Caenorhabditis elegans: one gene and its partner. The gene in region 2 interacts genetically with the main gene of each other region. Each region holds a gene or a part of one and is shown on either strand. Other genes may lie near its edges.

Evidence for each region.
Region 1: of let-653 (region 2) and ark-1, changing one enhances a phenotype caused by changing the other (phenotypic enhancement), as found in Caenorhabditis elegans (one large-scale study listed by BioGRID).

The regions. Positions count from the first base shown.
Region 1 is NC_003282.8:12,627,923-12,632,857, forward strand, and holds the start of ark-1 (Ack-related non-receptor tyrosine kinase), read right to left. Parts: upstream 3,101-4,935; 5' UTR 3,045-3,100; coding exon 2,971-3,044; intron 2,859-2,970; coding exon 2,773-2,858; intron 2,347-2,772; coding exon 2,172-2,346; intron 1,553-2,171; coding exon 1,318-1,552; intron 758-1,317; coding exon 437-757; intron 1-436. UniProt on the Caenorhabditis elegans protein: Probable tyrosine protein kinase which plays a role in vulva development, probably by acting as a negative regulator of the let-23/EGFR and let-60/ras pathway. Involved in the negative regulation of germline development.
Region 2 is NC_003282.8:11,883,592-11,891,689, forward strand, and holds let-653 (Protein let-653), read left to right. Parts: upstream 1-2,023; 5' UTR 2,024-2,026; coding exon 2,027-2,087; intron 2,088-2,138; coding exon 2,139-2,432; intron 2,433-2,854; coding exon 2,855-3,133; intron 3,134-3,178; coding exon 3,179-3,384; intron 3,385-4,832; coding exon 4,833-4,993; intron 4,994-5,105; coding exon 5,106-5,582; intron 5,583-5,965; coding exon 5,966-6,262; intron 6,263-6,492; coding exon 6,493-6,862; intron 6,863-6,959; coding exon 6,960-7,143; intron 7,144-7,191; coding exon 7,192-7,301; 3' UTR 7,302-7,490; downstream 7,491-8,098. UniProt on the Caenorhabditis elegans protein: Required for epithelial tube development and shaping. Involved in the morphogenesis and function of the three unicellular tubes of the excretory system, the canal cell, the duct cell and the pore cell.

The DNA of each region.
Region 1 (4,935 bases), 740 kb from region 2:
AATTTTCGGAAATTTTGAAATATATATTTTATTAATTTTCGGAAAATTTTAAAAATTCAGAACTTTTCAAAAATTAATTTAAAAATGTTAAAGAATTATGTTTTATAGATTTTTAGAAATATTATAAAAACGGTTTTTGTATGAATTTAAAAATTCTTATAACATTTCAATTTTAAATATTTTTTTAAAATAAAACTTTTCAAAAATACATTTTTTTAAAATTTTGTTTGAAATGTAATATTTGAAATAAAAAAAGAAAATTTTATTGGAATTTTTTGTTTCTTCGTTTTTAATATTTATTTTTGCGAATTATCGGAGTTTAGGCCGAAATTTTGTGAAATTTTCGAACAAAAAGGGGTCTGAAAATTGAATAATTGTTCAAAATTGGGGAAAAATTAAAATTTGGTAAATTTCAGCAAATGTTTTTTTGCAATACCTTTAAAAAATTAATACACTCCGGTGCACACCAAGCAATAGGAAGCTTAAGATTCGGTGTAAATTCACTTCGATAATAATCTTCACCAATTCCAAGAGATCTCGATAGTCCAAAATCTGATATTTTCACAAGTTTCGGTGAGAAAACGAGCACATTTCTTGCGGCAAGATCTCGATGAATGAGTCTTTGTAATTCAAGATATGACATTCCCATTGCAATTTGTTCAGCATAATCACATAAAACATGAACTGGAAAACTATCACGGAGAGCCGGTTTGTGAAGGCATTCCAGCAAAGATCCACATGTTGCGAGCTCCGAGACCTGCAAATTTTTTGTTATAATTTTTGAACTTTTAGATAATTCTGAAATGTTCAATTTTTTTCGAAAATTTATGATTTTTTATCATTAAAACTTTCTCACGAGGAGGAGAAGTGCGCAATTTTTGCTGTGAGTTTGACAGTTTCAGGCTAGAATACATCGTTCTGGACCATTTTTTCCGTTTTTTTTTCCTTTTTTTGATGAAAAATGCAAAAAATCAAGCTCTAGGGTTCTATAGAGATTTCTTATTAAAAACAATTTTTAAATACTAATTTTAATTTCAAAAGTCGCATAAAAAATTTCAATTTTTAAAATAATTTTCGGTATTTTTTTTTTCTGTAAAAATGGTCTTTGTTTGTCTTCGTTTAGGCATACGAGAATCTAATATTTATTCTGGGTTTTTCTAGCAAAATCGAAAATTGCATTAAAACTCTATTTTACGATATTTTTTCCATTGTTTTTTGAAATTTTTTTTCGGTTTTATGACAAAAAATTTGAATATACAAAAAATTCTAATATTACCAGATTTGTTCCGGCTTAGATTTTAATTTTTAAATCCTTACCAACATAATTTTTTTCGTATCAAGAACAACTCCATATAGTCTAACAACATGTTCATGTCTCATTCGTGTCATAATTGCAGCTTCTTGTAAAAATGATGATGACGTGGCAAGTAGTTTATCAGATCCAACACATTTTACGGCTACTTGAATGACGTCACTTCCTGCTGAATTCTTCCATCCTGCTTGCCAAACTGACCCGAATTCTCCTTGTCCCAACTCTTTGCAAAGCGTTATTCTGGAAAATTGTAACTTTAGTTTTCAATTAATTTTCTCGAAAAATTAAATCGAGCAATTTTAAAAGAGATTTTTCAATGTTGAAAAAATAATATGATGTAATGTCAAATTTGCAAACACAGTTTTCTTCGATTTTGCAAAATCTCGGAAAGTCGAAACCTCTGTACTTTTTTCTGAAAACAAGGAATTTTTAAATAAATAGTTTGTTTTCTAGGAAACTTGAATTAAAATTTAAAACCTAAAAATAAATAAAATGCAAATTTGCTTGGAAATTTCCGATTTTTCTGATTTTCAATAACGAAAATCAGATTTTTTAAATTTTAGATATTTTTCTTCACTTTTTTGTAGATAACTTATATTTTTATGTGGTGGTTATTCTTGCGAAGAGGAATAAAATTTGCTAAAAATTTTTTATTTTTTAATCTTCGAAAAAAAAAAATTATTTCTTTTGTTTTTTTTTCTGAAAATACCATACTTTTAAAATTAATTTTCTTTCGATTTTTTCAAATTTTTCATTCTGAAAAAATGATCTTTTGCCAAAACATCTTTTTTTCTGGAGTTTTTAAAAAAATTTTTTTTAATTTTCCATTTTGCTCCACGTTTTTCCCAGAAATGCTCACTTTTCAATTGGAATTACATGATGATCATTATCATCTTGATTTGCAACTGAATTCGAAGTTTTTCGATCCAAACTTTCCGCCCTTTTGAATGCTTTTTTCACTTTTCCAAAAATTCCAGACGGAAACATTTTTGTATATTCTTTTCGGAGGCGCTTTTGCTCCGGGCGGCTCATTCCTGAAAAATGTAAGTTTATTTTTCGGATTTTTTTCTGAAATATAATTCTTAATTTCCGATCAATTTTTAATTTAATTTCAGAGAAAAATAAACTAATTTTAAAAAATCTCAAATTAAAAAAAAGAAAACTAAAATAAATGGCCACAAAATGAGCAGTCATACGATTGAAAAATGAGAAAAATAAACACTTGTTTCGATTGAATCGTTGTGTAAATATTGATGGTATTTAGAGGCAGAAAGTAGAAAAAAAAAACAAAACAAATTTAATTATTTTTTGTCGAATATTATTTTTAGAATTTTAAAGAAGTTATTCTGGTTTTTTTTCAGAGATTATTGTTCTATTTTTGAGTGGAAAACTAACAAAACTGTGATTTTTTCGGTATTTTTAAAATAATTATTCATTGAGATTAAAAAAAAAATCCTCACCAACAGACAACAAATCGACTTCTTCGACATATTGTAAATCGGCAGCATTTCGTAGTTTTAGTTTTCGACGGAGATCTGATTCGTAGCTGAAAATTTTATTTTTTAATTACTTGAATCTCGGTTTTTACGCAGAAATTGTTAATTTTTCTTCTGAAAACCCCATTTTTCAGCAAATAATCTTAATTTTCCAGCTCTTACCCTGATAAATCGGCTGCTTGAAGCAGTTTATTGAGCGTCGCATCAGCGGTACCCGCCGTCGGCTCCTCTCGCATTCTTCGAATATTTTTCTTTTTTCGTTGTTTCTACCCCCGGTTGACGTTTGTTTTGCCTGCAATTTTTAGAATTTACAGTCAATTTTACACAATTTAAACGGAAAAATAACAGAATTGAAAGGCGTGGGAGGATGTGTTGACACGTGTTCAGAAAATGAAGAAAAAACAGTTTAAAATAGCAAATACCGTACCCGCCAGTTCTCGAAACGATTTCACGTATTTTAAAGTTTATGCTATGCGCCTTTAAGGAGTACAGTGTTTGATACTTCTGAAATTGCTAGTTTTTTTGAAAACTAATAAATAATTAAGAAAATGGAGCAATTTTTCACTGAAAAATCAATTTCAAAAAAATTAAAAAATTTGAGTTTCAACAAAAATCAATGAAACATTTCTTTGGAAAAAAGATGTTCAAAAAAAGATATTGGATATACATTTCTACATGCAAAGAGAGGAGACCCAGGAACATTGAACAAAAAAAACTTTTGGTCACTCTCACTTCCACTCTCTGCATGTTTAGAATTGCGTGCAATGAACCGGGCAAAAATTCATTTATTTCGACAAATTCGTGTTTGTGCGTGCTTCCCTTTATTTTTCAATTCATTTCCAATACACATTTATGTAGTGTTGAAAACTTACTAAATATGGAAGTTTGTTGCAATAGGAGAATTCAGTATTTTTCGAAAATAGAAATTAAAAAAAAATAGAAAATATTTAAGGCATTTACAGCGAAATACTGCGGAATGTAAATATATTGACGATTCACATTTTTCTGTTAAAAAAATGTATCGAAAAAGTATCGTATTTTATGTTTTTAAAGGCGCACGCAATTCTCCGACTGGGTCTCGCCACGAGAAACAAACGTGTATGGTACAAATTTAGATTTTTCTTTGAAAATTTTCTTGCAATTTCTGCTATTTAGTATTCTCAGCATTTCGAATGATAATCATGAAAATAAATAAAAAATATAAAAATCGGAAAGCGCTACCATAAAATTTTCTAAAATGCTTTCAAATAAAAAACCCGCAAAAACCATTAACTAGACTGATACTATTCTGAATTCGAATTAAACTAGAAAGACGGGAAGTTGAAAAAAAATTTCGAAAAGAATTTATCGCCGCATGGTTCATTAAACAATATCGTAACTTCTCAATTTTCTGAAAACTGTAGTCGAAGGCGCACGGATTTAGCCAGATGGGTCTCGCGGCGAATAAAGTTTTTGGTAGATTCAATTTTTTTCTTTAATTAATTAAACTTAAAATTGTGATAATAACACAACATACATTGATTTTTAAAATATGGATGTGCTCCAAAAGTGCTTCAATAAGTGATATTTATTACCCATTGTTTTTTTTGCGGCGAGACCCATCCGGAAAATTACGTGCGCCTTTAAGCAATATTTTCAGAAAAATGCGAAAGGATTAAAGCATACTACATGGAAACGTAAAAAACAAAGAAAAACTCTAATATTGCATATATCCCGAGAACAATCGAATAAAAAAAGGAGCTCCATTCCGAAAAAATGAAGGAGAAAACGGGAAAGACCATCAATCAAATTGGATGTGGAAACACATGGAGAAGAAAGAAAAAAAAAGAAAAAAGGGCGAATATCTTGTAATAGTAGTACTGGTGGTTGTAGTTGAAGTACACTTTGAAATAGTGTATGACTTCAAGCGAACATGAGGCGCAGACGGTTAGATACAATTAGCTAATGAATGTAAAGTTTCTTTTGCTTTATTGTTACGGAGATTCTAAAGTTTTTGAATTTTTTGCAAGGTTTTAAAAAGGCGCACGAATTCATTCGGATAGGTCTTGCCACGAGATGAAAGAAAAGTTTTGAAAAATCATTTTTCTAAAAAAAATCATAGATGAAATACTGAAAAGAAAATTTCAG
Region 2 (8,098 bases):
TGTTGCGTGTCAAGGCCGTGTCGTCTCGATCGGTTGCGTGCGCAATACTGTCCATCCTAACCTTATCCGTATGTTGTATCTCTCACTCTTCCTCTTCATCTTTTTCTCTCACTTTTCACCTCCTAGCACACTGAACCAATTAACTGTCTCTCTCTCACAAATGTCCGAGTGTATCATTCCGGATAGAGGTAGCCAGCAGCTATTGCTGGATCACCAATGTTTTCTCTTTCGCTTATTTGCTTATTTGACTTTTACCTTTTGGATTCCACCTCGAGAATGGCCTAGTTATCTTCTTTTATCAAGTACATACACATCATTCCTCACATTCTTATTTGAAAATTCAGCCATCTATGCGTTTTCTTATACTTTTCAGATCCATTGTTGTTACGTAGAAATGTATGCGAACATTCCATCCGGTCGAGGCGCCCGAGAGGAGCATCTTGCTCGAATTTTTTGTCACGGTATTTTAATGTCGTTATTCATGTAGTCTTTCCATTATATATATTTTTCAATTTGAATAATAAAAATCACCGTAGAAACATATAAAAATACATATGTATTTGAAAATCTCGAGAAAGATTTTAAAGAATGGTGGAAAGTTGGCATTCGCCGAAACAATTTTAACTGCAGTTCTCTCGGCAAGTTTCAGGTAGTTTTGAGAATCTTTTCTAGCATGCTATTTTCAAACTAGACAAATATTTTTTCTATATTTCACCATTTATTTTTATTTCAGTTTTGTTCAATTTTTTAAAACAATTACGTTTGAAATTTTTGGTTAACCTCGTTGCATTCTACCGTACCCATCGGTTTCAATTTGTTCTCAGCTGACAACCATAAACCTTATCTTAATTTTATTGTTTCGGACCTGGTGTCATAAAATCAAGTAATTTCACACCTAGTCTTACTTTTGTAAGAATATACACCGCCCTTCGTCAGTTTAGCCTTTTCAATCTTAGTCTGACCTCTGTGAGCGGGACGACACACGAATAAGAAGAAACCAATCGTTTTTGGTCATTTCTCTCGTTTCATTCCCTGTTTTGTGACATAATCTGTTCCTCAGACACTCTTCTTCCACCTCGATCTTCCTAAATCTTAGAGTTTACAAACATTTACAATAGAATGAGAAGGTCATTTCTGTATTCTCCCATTGTCAGTTATTCCCTTTTTTCCCATCATCTGAAAATCCTCTTTTAACAGTTAGTGGTCATCCATGAATCCATGGTAATTTCTGGCTTGTTTGCAAAAAGTGAAAAGCAATGAGGTCGACGCGCACCGGTTTCCGTTTTTGGTTAACTAGAGAGATAGAGGGAACGGTTGAAGTAACTGGATGGCATAGACACAATGAATAGGATAGGGTTAGCCACACTTCACTTATCATTGGATTACGAATAAAAGTACATGCGAGATTCACGATTTATGGTTGAACCGAATCGTTTCTCGAGGGTGAGAAGCAAAGCAAATACGTCATTCGATTAACAGTTTATGATACCTACATACATCAAATAGAAAATGATTTACTGTAATTGATATGATCACATCAATATCTCAACTGCCATCAGAGTTATAAAAAGTTGTCAATTGAGAGACTGGAGCGGAAAACATGTACATTACTTTTTTGAAAAATCTCTTTGAACACAATGTGCATTCTCTTATTCATATTCATAAATAATCGAAACTTCGGGAATAAATTGCTTTATTTGTTGTATAGGTTCCAAAAACATATTTTAAGCTCTACATATGCAGTTCATAAAGTTCAAAGCACGAAAATTCTCCTCACTTCACGGAATTCGAAGTTTTTCTCCCCAAATATGATGTACCTAAACTTGTTTATCTAACCACTTTCTCCACTTATTCGTGCTTCGGAGGAGCTTTCTCTTCCGCTTATACCTCGTTCTCCCCATTTCAATTCAAATGACCCGAAAACAGTCTCGTCTGTTCATAATCTTCCCTTATTTTGTTCCGTATCCACCAATCTCAATTCTTCATTTTCTTTCCATTTATTTTCCTAATCTGCTCTCTTCAGTAAATGCGACATCCACTAATTTCTCTACTATTGCTAATAGCATTCTACTCTACATCGTCAGAAGGTGATTCTTGAAAGTTGAACTTTCAATTAGAATTTTTTGGTTTTTTTCCAGCATTCGTTCCAAAATGTAACTCATTTTATGTTCGATGGCCTCGAGTTCGTCTCAACTTCAAGGCAGTTGCTGAAGCGAGACTTTCATTAAAAGGGTGTCAATCCGCATGTTCACTTGGAGAAGATCCAGTCAGTCCAGGAAAACAATTAGAGTGTGCTGCAGTGAATCATCAAGCATCTCCAGATGGCTTTTCACATCTTTGCGCCGTTTTCCAGCCGCATCAACTACAAAATGTTGACGGTTATGTTGAGGCGGATGATCGATTCACATTCTACTGGAAATATTGCCTTCCTTGTGAGTTTTTGTTCAATAAGGAATGAGATTAAGTTATTTCAAATTTCAAAATTAAATACAGTTGAAGCTCTTAAATGTCATTTAAAAATAAAAATTTGTAATTTTACAAAATTAGTGTTTTCTTGGTAGGCAGACATGTTTCCTGTCCAGTATTTTGCGCCTATGTGGGAGCTTTCTAAAGTAGAAGAAAGTCTCATAAATTAATAAAATATTCCTCAATTCTGGTTTCAGAGCTATGTATATTGTATATTTAGTTATCATTTTTACAAACAATTAGGCTGAATGCAGGCGTAGGTATTTTCAGGAAAAAATGTGAAATCCATTTGAAGCCATTTTTTAATTTTTTATTATTTTGTACTTCAAAATCCTGATTTCTGGAATGTTTTTTTTTATATTAAAAAAGTCAAACTGTTTTTTTTCAGCCACTCGAAAATGTTCTGGAGAATACGCATTCACATATCTTTCGGATCGTTATATGGATCAAAAGTCAGTTATAAAATGGACAACAAAAGCAAATTTAGAAGAGTGTCTTTCGGATTGTTTGGATGAAAAATCATTTGAATGCCGTTCAATCTCCTTCAATAGAACAGACGGAGGATGTCATATGTCTAAGGATTCACAAATTTCACGACCGGAAGCCATTCGATTGAACAATAACCCCAACTATCGAATTGATTATTACGAGAATAACTGTTACAATTGTAAGTGAATTGGAAAAGAAAAGTATTCATTTGAAGTATTTTCAGTATCCGAATCATTCACATTCAAACATGAATGTCGTGATAATGGAATCTCAGTCAGCGTCAAGTCTCGTCTTCCTTATACTGGAGCCATTTATGGACTTTATGACTTCTTCACTTGTCGGACTGAACCAAAAGAAGCCACTGAATTCGATCACTTTTTCCCATATCAGACTGTCAGCAAGAACTGTTCGGATTCTATTAAGTACAAGGTAAGATCAGAAAGTGTCCAAAACACATAATTTGCCAAAAAATGGTTTAAAAAAATTACAACTATGATCAAACATTTTTGAAAAAGATTTCTTGGTCTGAAAAAAAAACCAATTTTGTTTGTGCCAATATCGTAGGTTATGTTTTTGTGTCAAACTATCATTATTTTTGCATCAAGTCATTAGGGCGGCTAATAAGTTTGGACGTATTTCGTCAATTTACGGTTTTCCTCAAATTTTATATGGGTGACTTATAGTAGGCAGTGAGTATATATAAGCATATCAGTTTCAGCTATTTTAGCCAGCTTCTTGGTACTTTGATCTGAAAAAATTCAAAATTTTTTTGAAATTTTTTTTTGCGATTTTTTGGGTTAGGCGTCAGAGTTTTGATATTAGTATTTAAATCAATTAAGTTTTGTTTGTAGATTACAAAAATTGAATCCCGACTTGATTGGACCACACCCAAAACTTTTATAGCCAATCAAAGTCAAAAAGTGAAGTGTACTAAAAATTTGTATCTTTTCTTGAAATTTCAAACTAAAAAGTGGATACGTTTATCCAAGTAAAACATTTTATAACCAATTTGGTCTGTTCAAACCTCCTTTTCGAATTTATGAGTTTCAACTTTTACAAGATCTGGGATGTTCAAAAGACCGTTATGCTATTTTCCAAATTATATTTTTACAAGAAAGCATCAAATATTATAAAATTATGTTTGTTTCTACTGTATTATCTTTGTTTTTCATATGGTTCCAAGTTGTCTACCAAGAAAAAAGATTTGAACTTTTGATCAAAAAACTTAAAGTTTTAGGAAGTTAGTTTGTACAAAAAAAGCAAAAATTAGTGCTCACGTGAAAGAAACAGGCTTCAATTTATGATATTTGATGCTTTTTTGTAAAAAAATAATTTGGAAAATAGCATAACGGACTTTTGAACATCCCAGATCTTGTAAAAGTTGGAACTCATAAATCCCCAACGGAGCCTGGAACTGACCAGACTTGTTATAAAATGAATTACTTGGATGAACGTATCCATTTTTTAGTTTGAAATGTTAAGAAAAGATTGAATCTGAAAAATTACAAATTTTTAGTACACCTCACTTTTTGACTTTGATTGGCTATAAAAGTTTTGGGTGTGGTCCAATCGAGTCAGGATTCAATTTTTGTAATCTACAAACAAAACTTAATTGATTTAGATATTAACATCAAAACTGTAACGCCTAACTCAAAAAATCGCAAAAAAAAAATTTCGAAAAAATTTTGAATTTTTTCAGATCAAAGTACCGAGAAGCTGGCTGAAATAGCTAAAACTAATAAGCTTGTATATACTTACTGCATATTATAAGTCACCCATATAAAATTTAAGGAAAACCGTAAATTGACGAAATACGTCAAAACTTATTTGCCGCCCTAATATATTCTCATGATATTTTTCAAAATACAAATTTCCAGGGAAACGAAATGGTACTTGAAGTTGTCTTATCTACTGATGGAATAGAGCCACTTTATTTCATTACTCCTGAAGATTTGACATACCAGGCAAAATGTCCAATTAGTGGTGTAAAAGCAAAGGATCCCGCTAACACAAAATCCTCGGCTCATTTGGATAACAGGTAAAACTTGCTAGAATTTATTTATTAGTTGTTTTATTTCATTTAAATTTTTTCACTCCTAATACAGAATTAGTTTGAATGATTGTTTGAATGATTAGTTAAATATGTTTAGAAACAAGGCAATGGAAGCATCAGCGCATGCATTGTTTGAGTTACTCTCGAAAACTGGAGATGATGAAGCCCTTCAAAACACATTCCCACTTCCATTGACTACCACAACAGAAGTAATAAGGCAAGTTACGACTACAACCAAGAAACCATCAACTACAACTTCTACTAAAAAGTTGACGACCACAACAACCACAACCCCAAAACCATCCCAAAAACCTACCACCACTACCACCAAATCCCCTGTTGTTATTACTACTACTACAAAAACTTCCCCTAAGCCAACTACTTCCCCAAGTACAACAACTTCTACTACTACTTCAACCACAATTCCACCAAGTACTACAACCAGGAAACCAGCTAACCCTCGCAGATCCACTATCATGTCGGCAACTTCAAAAGTTGCAATAATCGTAGGAAAAGATTCAAGTTTTGCCAGAGCTCGGCTCTTTACTACAAAACATCCAAGTACACAGAAAATGCAAGTTTTTATTTTATTTGTTTCATATCTAACCATTTGTTTGGTAATTATTTTTTTGGTTTTCGTGAAAAAAATTTGTGATGTTGTTTTTTTTCAGTTTTTAATTAATAATCAAAAAAGTAAGACTGAAAAATTCAACTTTGTAAACGCAATTTTTCAATTGCGACTAATCTCGCTATTTGAATTTTCTTCAAGTTCCACAACTCCGTTTGATTGGTTTAGAAGTGAGCGTAGAAAATTGCTGATTGGTCTTGCAATTCTGATTTTGAAGGAAATTCAAACAGGGAAATTAGTCACAATTGAAAAACCGCATTTTTAAAAATTGAATTATTCATGATTTTTTCATATTAAATTCCAATATTAAACGTTTTTTGTTGTTTCAGTGATGTGCCAACTACTACCGTACAAACTTCAACTACCGTACCAACCACACCATCCAAAACAACTGCTACCACTACAACAACTCCAAAGCCAACCACTACAGAGACAGCTACAACTTCTTCATCAACAACCACAGTAACCACACAAAAACCTACAACCGTTACGTCAACAACAACATTACCATCCACAACGGCATCTACAACAACTAAAACTACTACAAGTACGCCCACGTCACCACAAACAACGACCACTCATGTAGGAGCTCCCGCATCTTCCGTTGCATCGGTGGCTCATGATGGGTAAGTATTTTAAGTTTTGTCAAACCAAAGTATATTACAACAAGGAAAAGTTATGAAAATTCATTTTTTTATTTGTTTCAAAAACGGCAAGCTCAACATTTTTGTTCTCTAAAACTTTCAAACTTCCAATTTTCCAGTTTCTCACGAGCGGCTTTTTTTAATAAAAAACTATTTTTTAAAAGTTATCAAATTTTCTGCAAAATCTCAATTTTAAAAAAGTATAATTTCAGCTCAACACTTGCCGGAAAACCAAAAGTTCCAGTGATTTTCGATATTTTCCACAACGGACAACCAGTTGAAGCCGTCGTTGTTGGAACAAAAATCAGTCTATCATTCCGTCCACACTATCCAATTCCACCGGAGTACGTAGACGTTCGTGGTTGCCAAGTTGAGCCAATTGATCCAAAATATGAATGGGAGCACGAGCCACTGTTCATCATAAGAGATGGATGTCCTGCTGACGGTGTTGGTCTCGTCTGCCCACCAACACATTCTGAGTTTGGAGCAAAAGTTTCCGTTGAGGCATTCAGATATCAAACAACTGGACAAGTACAGTACTCCTGTCTCGTGAGAATATGTCCATTTGCTCCGTGTCCGAAGGTGAGTTGAAGCTTGATTAGTGTCTAGAAAATAATAATCTTTGTCAAACAGATGGTCGCAAGTGATCTGAATTTTTAAAAGTTCAAACAAATTTCAGAACACATGCGACGACGTGGAAGGCTGTGACAGTAGCTACATGCATCGATACAGGCGAGAATTATCACTTGAAGACATCAAAAAAGCATTGGAAGCAAACCCAGAACTTGCTTCTCAGTTCGGAATTTCACCGTCCGCGTTTGCAAGAAATCCGTCGAAATCTAAAAATTTCACAAGCGTTGTTGGTTGGTTCAAATTTAGTTTATTTCCAATCCATATTTAATAAGTTTCAGAAGAACAACAAAGAATCGCACTCGGCGGAGATTATCTTGTTCGGCGTCGATTGATTGTTGTCAACTCTGAAGATCAATTGAGATATTACGTTCGAACTGGAAACATCTGAAAATACACACAAAAAATGTCTTCATGTCAGCTTTATAACTTTGTTTTTATTCTTCTTTCATTCAATTATCCAAACGCCACACGAGCGGGTCTCACATGGAAAACTCTTGGAGTTATTCTTCTTATGATTTAAGTTAAATTTTTTGATGAATTCACCATTTTGATTGATAATAAAATATTTCATCGCTTGATATTATTTTTGCAAGTCGTTGAAATACTGGGGAAGTTGTATAAACATATCATAGATGTGAACATAAAAAACTTCATAAAATTAATAAATGGTACATGGAATACAAATTAAGATAATGGCGAGTTTTTGAGTTTTGAAGACATACCAATTCATGAAATCTCTAGAATTAAGTAACCTAATAAAATCTAAAATTCATATTCTTATCATGTTCATCATATATCAGATATTCATCTCATTCTCCCCGAAAAATGCGAAAAGGAACTAAAAGCCGTTTATGTCAATCCAGATGTTGGTTTTTCATTAATAAAAATTCTCAATCTTCCGAAATAAATTAGGTCGAGGAGTTTTATCCTCAAACATTTCGATTCGTTCCCTATTAAATTCCTACATGTTCGATATCTCGATGCTGAATCAAATGTCGTGTTGACTTGTTCGACGTCGTTTACCATCATCAAAGCAGCTACCAGACAGTTAATACTAAAAATATACTGAAAATATAATGAACTAAATACCTAAATATAATACCGCAATTGCGTCATTGAGGTTTGTAGAACTTGCAAGCGAAGTCTAGAAGCTTTTCCTTATAAACTATAGTCTTGTCTCAAAAG